3 linked regions of the Caenorhabditis elegans genome follow. The protein of the gene in region 2 purifies or fractionates together with the protein of the main gene of each other region. This does not show direct contact. Each region holds a gene or a part of one and is shown on either strand. Other genes may lie near its edges.

Evidence for each region.
Region 1: the proteins of glb-1 (region 2) and aldo-2 fractionate together in Caenorhabditis elegans (co-fractionation; one large-scale study listed by BioGRID). This does not show direct contact.
Region 3: the proteins of glb-1 (region 2) and srlf-1 fractionate together in Caenorhabditis elegans (co-fractionation; one large-scale study listed by BioGRID). This does not show direct contact.

Annotation. Positions count from the first base shown.
Region 1 is NC_003281.10:5,874,382-5,878,222, forward strand, and holds aldo-2 (Fructose-bisphosphate aldolase 2), read right to left. Parts: upstream 2,090-3,841; 5' UTR 1,941-2,089; coding exon 1,899-1,940; intron 1,840-1,898; coding exon 1,758-1,839; intron 1,421-1,757; coding exon 669-1,420; intron 618-668; coding exon 393-617; 3' UTR 297-392; downstream 1-296. Other genes in the region: F01F1.3 (MIF4G domain-containing protein), read left to right, coding at 1-19, 63-221; mig-21 (Abnormal cell migration protein 21), read right to left, coding at 2,639-2,952, 3,095-3,193, 3,250-3,368, 3,413-3,657, 3,707-3,841.
Region 2 is NC_003281.10:8,921,794-8,925,028, forward strand, and holds glb-1 (Globin-like protein), read right to left. Parts: upstream 1,498-3,235; 5' UTR 1,492-1,497; coding exon 1,298-1,491; intron 1,000-1,297; coding exon 714-999; 3' UTR 606-713; downstream 1-605. Other genes in the region: ZK637.12 (uncharacterized protein), read left to right, coding at 2,498-2,656, 2,741-2,938, 2,985-3,107, 3,153-3,235. UniProt on the Caenorhabditis elegans protein: May be a globin and may play a role in oxygen transport.
Region 3 is NC_003280.10:7,788,899-7,791,875, forward strand, and holds srlf-1 (SXP/RAL-2 family protein Ani s 5-like cation-binding domain-containing protein), read left to right. Parts: upstream 1-1,693; 5' UTR 1,694-1,733; coding exon 1,734-2,054; intron 2,055-2,213; coding exon 2,214-2,348; 3' UTR 2,349-2,477; downstream 2,478-2,977.

The sequences.
Region 1 (3,841 bases), 3.0 Mb from region 2:
CCGTCAAATATTCATTCATGTGAGGAAGATCAGAGAATGATCAATTGATTATTTGATTTTAGGTGTATGATCTTTGGGCATTTGGATGGAGTGAGCTGAATATTCCTGAATGTCTTCTCACTTTGAGTGCAGAAGGGAAGCTATCGATTGTTGATCAGACACCACTTCGGAAGAATGATATCAGCAAGCAAGAGTTCGGAAGCAAAGAGAGCATTGTTTGAATATATTGAAGTAGATCCTTAATATTCCCACTTTTGGTGATTTTTAGTTTTCGGGTTTCATAAAATATAAAATTTCGGTGAAATAAAACTTCATTTCGGGGTCAGTGAAATTATACAATCTTGGGGACGAGGTTGCGAAAAATCTATTCACAGGAAGTTATGCGTCATCGCTTAATAGGAATGCTTGGCAACGAAGAGAGACTCGGCGGCGGCTCCAGCTGCGTCTTCTCCGGCGTACTTTCCGAGAGATGCATCTCCATTGGCCTTGGAACGGTGAAGGAGTGTCTTCTGAGCGGCAGCGATGTTCTCGTCTTTTCCGCCCCATGCCTTGAGCACAGAAGCTTGAAGAGCACGTCCATAAGAGAAGGTGAGCTTCCATGGCTTTCCGAGTTGAACCTGTAAATAGAAATGAGTGATATAAGGTTATTCCATTTCGTTTAAATTTACCGAGTTAATAGCATTGAGGTTAGCAGTGGCATCAAGTTCGGATTGCCCTCCAGACAGGAAAGTGATTCCTGGAACTGCAGCTGGAACTCCGCGTCTCAAGGCGGTTACGGTAGCCAATCCAATTGCCTCGTGTGAAGCTTTCGACGCGCTCGATTGTCCTGGAGTAACCATGTTTGGCTTGAGAAGAGTTCCTTCGAGATACACGTGATGATCAGCAAGAGCCTTGTACACAAAGGCAAGAACTTGCTCAGTAACCTTCTGGGCACGAGCCAAATCATGTTCTCCGTCGCAGAGAACCTCTGGCTCGACAATTGGAACAAGTCCGTTGGCCTGGCAGATAGAAGCGTATCTGGCTAGCACATTGGCGTTCTCGAGCATTCCGAGGTGAGATGGGGTGTGAGTTCCGATGTTGAGAACACAACGCCATTTGGCGAATCCACATCCTCCCTTCTTGAAAGCAGCGGCACGTTCGGCAAGCTTGTCGAGCCCCTGGGTGGTTCCCTCTCCAATGGTTCCAGCCAATGGGACAACTCCGAGATCGAGCTTGATTCCTGGGACGATTCCTTGCTTGATGAGAAGATCGGTGAACTTCTCTCCCTTATCGGTGCTTTGATGGAATGTCTCCTCGTAGAGAATCACTCCGGAGATGTGCTGGTTGAGATTTGGAGTAGTGAACAGGAGTTGACGATACTTCTGACGATTTGTCTCGTTGTTTTCGAGGTTGATGGCATCAAGACGCTTTCCGATTGTGCCTGCAAATTGATCGGGTCACGATGTGCTGCATTATAAAAAAGAAGAAATCGGTCTTCCCCAATATCATTTCTACATGTTATCTTTCTTTCTATCTACAATTTTATCTATCACTCGCACTATCAATGCATCAACATCTCCAATTTCAACAACATAAACATCGAAAATTGGAGGCGATAGAGGGCACAGAATATGATCGCTAGACCGTGAAAATTTATTTTTTGAACTTCTGAACATAAGTCGCTAATTCTTATTGAATAGAAAAATTGTCAAAAGATGATTGTGAGAAGATAAGAATCTCGATTTTCTAGTTCTAGAAGAATTTTTCCAATAGCTCACCAGTGGATTCATCGGCGGCGAGGATTCCCTTTCCATCTTGAACAATTTTGAGAGCGATTTGGTGAAGCTCGTCTTTTTGAGCCTAGAAATACAACAATTAAACTAAGAAGGGCATTACAAAATGATGAATGATCAACAAACCTGGGTAAGAGAGTCCTTGAAAGCGCCTCCGACAGTTGCCATCGTGAAAAATAGAAGTGATGCGAAATGAAATGGACGGTCGAGAAAATGGGGAGGCGGAGAGTGTAGAGAATCAGTACAGTCGCCGAGAGTGTGCGCAAAAACGGGAGACGGCGAACGGGCGGCGCCAAATATTGTTGGCGCGCAGAGAACTGAAACGTGATATTCTTGTACTACTTTAGGATGATCGAAAAATTCCGAGATAGAAAGTTTTGAGGCCTATTTTTAAAGAGTATGTCAATTCGGCAAATTAATCTATAGATAAAGTAGATAAATCCCTTAAAAAAACTACACAAAAATTTTTTTTTAATTAATAAAATTGTGCACAATTTTTTAAAAACAATTTTTCACAATTGTGCAGGAATTATTTTCTTAAGTTTTCGGCTGTTTTCTTATAGAAAAAACCGAAAAATTTGGAAATGAAAAAATGAATCCTAAAATTGAATTTAAATGTGCGGTATTGTCGTTGTTAGTCGTTGGCTTGCGCTGCGAGACCCATTTGCGAAAGTACGCCTCTCTTTAAAAGTATAATTAATTCTGATGTTTTTTCTTTAGAATTTCAGTCTTAAAACTGAAGAGTTGAAGTGATAAGAATTAAAAACACCTCACTCAGAGTATTCGTTGTACAGATCAATGATAACTTTTATTATCGTGGCGTGAGAAATGGGCAGACAGAGACTGTTCTCGAAAGCATCCGAAATTCACCAAAAACTTTCATCTTTCGGGGAACCCGGAGAACGAATCAAATGAGAAGGATAGTCACGTGGATTTGAATCATACGAATAATTCAATCTTATGAATCTCCTTTTAAAACGATTCACAACACAATAAATAATATTTTGAAGAAGGAAACCCGTGAGAATACAAAAACAAAATATTGGAATTGCAAAATGCAAGGGAAGACATGATGACGTGAATCTTGATAAGAGATGGTGTTCGATGGAAATAGAAGAGTTGTGAAGAAGACGATAACGGTATGCAACTCCTGGATGCATATGCCATTCAGACCAGTTGGCTGGAAATTATTCTCATTAATTTTTTATCATGTTGTTAACTAACACAAAAATTTAGACAGTAAAGTGGACATTGTACTTTGAAACTTTCAAATTTAGTCTTCAAGTTATGGTTCTTCGAAATTTTTTAACTAAAATTAATACCATGCTTCATTGAGTCTTGAGTCTCCTTCCGTATTCCCACTTCAGTATTCGCCACGTTTGATGACGAACACCAGGCTGAAAACCGTACTTGCTCAATTCCTGAAATTAAATCATTACAAATTTGTTGATATATTTCAGCGTAATGAGACCCATACCATAATTCACCCAATCTGTCCATTCGGACCATTTTTTACTAATTGGACACTCATCTGGGCGGCAATCTTCGTAATCCTTGTCACATCCCTCGCAGGAATTACCTTTGCAGTGCCGAGTTCTGAAACTTGGGTTACTGTACATTTCCCAATTGTTTGAACCTACCGTATCCTCAGGCTACGATCACAATCGCATCGAGACCATGGATTCCAGGATGTCCAGGATCCAAAAAGATACTCCGGTACATTTGAAGAAATTGCACAAGATTGCTTCTCAACTTTCTGGCCAGAACAAGTGGTACCAATTGGTAAAGGATTATTACACGTTCGTCTTCTTTTTCGGATACCTTCTCTACATTTCGACCATTTTGACCACGTTGACCAACCTCCTGGACGGATGCAATTCCAAATCTGCATCAAAATTTTATTGAATTGGTTTTTATCTTTTTGAATGTAGAACCTTAATTTCTCCGCCTTGTTTCGAACATTCACAGAATATACCATTATTAGATGCACACTTATTAGAGACAACTTGAGAATATAAAATGCTAGAATCATTTAAATTAGCCAACGAATATGAGAAATTGACGAAAAC
Region 2 (3,235 bases):
CTGGCGCCACTTCATTTTTAAACAAACCAAAACAATTGGTCTATTCATGTGATGTTTCAAAATAGTAAGTTGTTTTTGTTGATTTTTTTTCTGTATTTTTTTACATCACAAGAGTACCTTTATTAGTTTGTAAGTTCTGATTGTTTTATAGCATCCCAAAAATTTCGTTAATGTATTATTTAATGTGGAAAACTATAATCATTGCATTTTGTTCAGTCGAATCCAGTCGAATCAAATGATATGTATTCCAAGCTTGTTTGGTGCCGCAAACTTATTCCGTGCTTCATAATATTCACAACATTTACGGAAGCTTTAATGTAATTCAAGCAATTCAAGTGTACACAAAATGAGGAAAAAGTGTAAAACGCTAGTGTACGTGCCATGTTGTTGGTCTCTATTCACACGTGTTGGCAGGCAATTCGAAAACGAAAAGATCAAAACATCAGAAGTCAGTTCGAGAGATATTCGGTTCTTTGGTTCATGGTGAATTAAAAACAAGATAAATATTTTGATGGCATGCAATGTGACGGCTGCATCATGGAAATGGACAATAAATTGAAGTTCCAAAGTGTTGCCAAGTACGTATTAATTTTCTGTGAACTATGTCAAAATACTTTGTTTATTTTGTACAAAAACGTTTCCAAGAGAGATAATCATTATAATACTCAAAGCTCATTCAAATACAATATAAAGGCTCAAAACATTCAGATCTATTAAACATGTGGAAGATTGGAATTCTTGAGATGTGTCTGACTCTCAGCATTGAATTCCTTTCCAAGTGCCATCCATGCGGCCTTTTGTTGATCATTGAGACATCCAACAGATTCAAGATATCCAGTGAATACAGTGAAGAATGCCATCCACAGAGCTGGATCCATTTTGTAGATACGATGACGGTTGATGGTTTCACGGACGTATCCCTTGAAGACTTCTTCATTGGTGTAGACGTTGGCAAGGAGATGGCACGCAAGAAGAATACGTTGGCCTTGTTTGTCAAATCTGGAATTGGAATTATTTAGTTTTGTTTTGCTGATAATTTCCATTAGTCAGACACGCTACAATATAGCACCCCGTTGTTTAATTTTAACAGCTTTAAAAAAATTGTTACCTGGAAAAATGTTTTTTATTTCTTTTCCTATTGTTGTGCAGTTAATTATTTATTGGTATCTTCAAAATTGAACTAGTTATTACCTTCAAAAGCGAAGTAGTGGGGTGCATTACTATTAGAGGAAACACGTCAAATTTTGCTAACTAAAATCGAAACCAATATCAAAAAGTTTACAGTGTTAATACTAACCTCTCACTCTTCTTCACATCATCTGCAGTGTACTTCTCGGCTCCCTTGAAATAGACACGAAGATCCGGGAAGTTGGTGAAGAAATAACGGTAGAAGGCGTTTCCATTCTCAATGTTTTGAGCCTCAGTTCCAACCATTCGTCCTTCAAGGGACTTCACACAGAGATCACTAATTTCTTGACGGTTCATCGACATTTTTCTCTGAAAAATATTTAGTTAAATTGGGAGTTTGTAAAATCTTATATAAATCTTTAAAAAATAAAAATTAAAAAAGAATTAGAAATAACCATAGTAAAGTTAGAAAGAAAAGAGACTCTAGTGAATGTTTTCCATCTAGTCTCTCTTTCTCTTTCCAAAATGCCTCAAACCGCCGAAAAATAACGACTTTTGACCAGTCCGCACGGCTCCGCCCATTTCCCTTCCCGCCTCCAAATGATGACAAACATTATGATCTTTTGGATGCTCTGCGTTTCTGCATTTCCAATGTTATCTAACATTTTGGAACGGAAAGGAGTGAGGCGGGATTTTTGCGACTCTGAAGGTCAGTAAATTGGTAAACAACATCCAAATAACGGAGGTAATTTTCAAGTGGCAGACGAGGTGGAGAAAAGAGTAAATTAGGGTTGGGTAAAGATGGAAACTCAAAAATCAAAACATTTGGAAATTACTGAAAATTTAGTATTGAGTTTTAAAAATCATAAATTCTATCTAAACTACAAAAAATAAGTTATAGGAAAATGTATTAAGATTAAAACGGCAAAGCTTCATGCTCAACCCCTGAAACTTCAATCTGTAACTTTTTCAGTGCAGTTTTCACTACTCTCGAGACATGTACAATTGCTTTAAAATCTATATTTTGCAGACTTTTGATAATTTTGCGTTGTTTAAGAGAAGTTAAACCTTTGGAAACAATTTGGAAATTTTTGAAATCTAAACCTCAAAAGGTTCAATTCGGGTTTCCCTTATTCCTAATATTCGAACCATATTATCACTTTTTTGACATTTTACAACTGCACCATTCTCATTTCACATATGTTCTTACAATTAATTTTTAACGTTAACTTTCCAATGGAAAATTTATTGAACATTTAAACGTGTAGCCTAATTTGTTTGAAAAGTTGAATGAAAAAAATCAAAACAACAATTCAAAACCAGAAATCAATTATTCCTTAACTTTCAAAATTCGAAGCAAGCGAAAAGGATGGAATGCGTGAATTGCGATTGTACAGTCAAAACGATGGACAATTTGGATCAAGCGATTCGGGCACTGCTGCAACGTGGCAAACACGTGAATCGAATGATGGACAACGAGAAGCTGATTAGAGAGGCTCGACGCATGGAGGAGGTCCAGCAGTTGAAGGTATGAAAATTAAAAGAGGATAACCTCTAAAGCAATTAACAAATTTGAATTAAATGACGTGACAACTGACTGGGGAATTTTCAGATGCAAATCCCCAAGCCGGTTGACAAGAAGCCCCGTCCACCGCCTTCGGAAAATAACCTGAAGCTGATTTCGTGCGAGGAAACATGCATGGATGAGACACTGAAAAACTCGTCGAAGCCACGTATGATCTACAATAAGCAACTCGGACGCGCCGAATCGATTGATTTCGATGTTCCGTCCCTGTCTTACGAGAGTTCGGTGGGTGTCTGCTGCTACTTTTCCATGAAAACAAAGCATTTTCCAGGAAAAGTGCGCCGGTGAAACGAGTCCGTATACTTCGGCGTCGGTGTCGAATTCTAAAAAGGCGACGTCTTCCTCGAATTTCACAAAGTCGGAGACCACTACAATTACTGAGTTGACAACTTCTGTAAGCCGGAAAGCTATCCCAACTCAACAATAATTACTGTTTCAGACGTTCAAAAAATCTAATAATTCATCAGGTGGCGCTCTTGTTCTGGACAATCATTACTTGATTAATAATGACGATGGAACTGT
Region 3 (2,977 bases), on a different chromosome or scaffold from region 2:
TTTCTACTCTCAACGATCAGCCCTGTTTGTTTTCTCTTTTTTTTTGATTTTCGGCATTCATTCATCAAGTATACATTCCCGAACTCTCAGATTTAATTTCATTGGTTTTCGGTCGGTATATGGGAAAACGTAGTTTGAGGTTATATTCTGTTAGATAGGTCAGCGAAAAGATTTATGTCGCCTATAAAGAAATGGTCCGTTTGTACATATTTGGCACATCAACTGAACAAAGAAACAATGACGTTTACATGTTTATGGATGACCACGTCATAAAACTAGAGATAATATCTGAATGAAGGAAAGTGTAGGTTTCCGAGGGCATATACAATGTTAAAGGATAAATAATGAAATTGTGTTTTGAATAGTAGTCTAACTCACGAAAATTCTCAAGAAAAATAGATCATAACAAAACGTTCTAATTAGAATTACGTTTTGGTAGATACATAAGTCTAGAGCTGTACAGATCAAGCTGGTTGTCAGAAATTCGATTCATTTTCAGTTTAAACTTAATTGTTCGATACACCTTCTGACCATCTTTCCATTCTGACTTGTAGCATTTAAAGATATGTTTCGATCATTGGAACAAATCAGAAGTTGTCATTGAAACCACAGAATGTTGGTGCTTGACAAAATGAAGAAGTCAAGAAAAGGAGGAACCGACAGTTTTATTTCCATATCAGGAAGTGATCGAAGGATATAAAATGGGATCGACTGAAGGCAGAAACAGGAAAGAAAACGGATTGGTACTACGATTTTAGATGGAAAAACCTCGAAGATGATACACATAAAACGGATAATAAAATATACTGAAAAGAGAAAAATGAGTTCAAGGCTACACAAACAACACCTTTTGTTTCAAATTTTACCTTATTTCATTTCTATGATAAGCTTAAAAAGATGAATGATGTCATTGAGGAAAGTGTTAAAATGAGACGAGAAAGATGTAAAGATAGATCTTCGTATTGATAGATACCGACAAAAGGTCAGACGTTTCATATTGATGATGGTTAGGGAAAAGGAAATGAAGAATAATGATAAAATCATTTAAAAAAAGCAAAAGGCCGGTAAATCGACTGAAAAACACTAGGTTTTGAAAAAGTTGGGAAAATTTTCCATGCAATAGTTCTAGAGTACTTTTTCGCAAGTCATTTCACTTGTTGGGAAAGGAGTTTTAATTTCGAATCGAGACAACTAAAAAATATTTTTTTTAACTTTTGTATTTTGTAGAGTGAAATATTTGATCACACTCCAAGAGTAGTTACTATTTCCGAGCCTTTCATTTTTCACGAAATCCAGATATTTGATATGTGACTTTCAACACAACAGTTCAGTTACAAGAAGACAGAATGAAAATCGAATCTGTAACGGAATTTTAAAAAATCATGAGAACCTCTGTCCGCGTTCTATCTCAATGACGTCTTTCTTAACTTCTGTTCCAATATTCTAAATTTATTCGTCACTACGGCTTCTTTATTGTGTTGAAAAAGTTTCAAATTCAGCGATTTTCCATCGGAAAACTGGTCAACTTCAGCGAACACACTGTATCTCTCTATGTCTCCATACTGTCTCATCTATGATCTACGTGTGGGAGGAGCGAAAGGGCGGCACAGAGAGAGAGATAGAGATAGAGAGGGAGAGAGAAATGACTATGAGCGTCGATTGTATAAAAGAAACTATTTCTGCTGGACATCCCTCATCAGTCGTCTTCTAATACTCTTTCTGATTCACTTAAAATGTGCCGTCTTGCCGTTTTTGCTCTTCTCGCCGTCGCCGCTGTGTCTGTCTACGGACAACCAGCCGGAGGTCAAGATGTTCCACCATTCCTTCGTAATGCCACTCCAGCTCAACTTCAGAGCTTCCAACAGCTCATTCAAGCCAACGGTCATTTGACTGAGACCGCTCTTGACGGAAAGGTCCAAGCCTGGGTTAACCAACAAGGAGGAAAGGTTGCTGCTGACTGGGCTGACTTCCAAAAATTCATCAAGGGACAACAGGGACAAGCTGAGGCTGCTCATCAAGCCGCTGTTTCCAACTTCTCTCCAGCTGCCAAGAAAGTAAGATAATGTGGATAAACCAACTAGATTAAGCCATATATTACGTAAAAGTAAAATCAGATAAACTAGTCGGATTTGTACTAGCACTGCAAATACTACATCTACTAGTTTTCGGAATAAAACCAAAGTATCAATTTTAATCTTTTCAATTTCTTTCAGGCCGATGCTGACCTTACCGCCATCTCCAATGACAGCTCCCTCTCTGTTCAAGCCAAGGGACAAAAGATCCAAGCCTACCTCAACTCCCTCCCAGCTAACGTCAAGGCTGAGCTCGAGAAGGCCCAAGGACAATAAGTGCTGATCAACCAAAGAACCTCTCAATTTTTTTTTGTAAATACCCTCACTCATTCTCTCGTTCTCATTCGATTGATTCCCTTTTTGCCCAAATGAGCTCTAATTCTAATAAAAATCGTGATGCTCTTCAAATTTCAATTGAAACTAGCAAACATATAAAAACTAGAATATTCAGTATAGGCATGTGTATCTATGTTTAGATTGGATGTACACTTTTTATGAATGACTGAGCGGTAAAGTTGACACAAACCTGTTTGTTTGCGCATACTAGTACTTAGGATATTGTGTAGAAAAAGTGCTCAAGTTCAGTTTTTTGAACATTGAAACTGAAAATTTTTAAATCGTAGTAAACTGGACACTGTCAAATAAAAATATTTCATGGTATGAACAAAATAAAGCTTTTAGAGATAAAAAACACGGCTTCATAACTATTGTTTTAAAGTTTTCAAATGATCGATTCTACTTCCAAAAACATATTATTTTCTCTACTCCGTGATATTCTCCATATGAAGAAAAGTACGAGAGACTATCACTTTAAGTTCAAGGTCTCACAATCTCTGATTTGTGATGACCCTTTTCTCTTCTTTTTTCAATCAAACTTAATTTGTTTCCCAATTGTGTTCCAGACT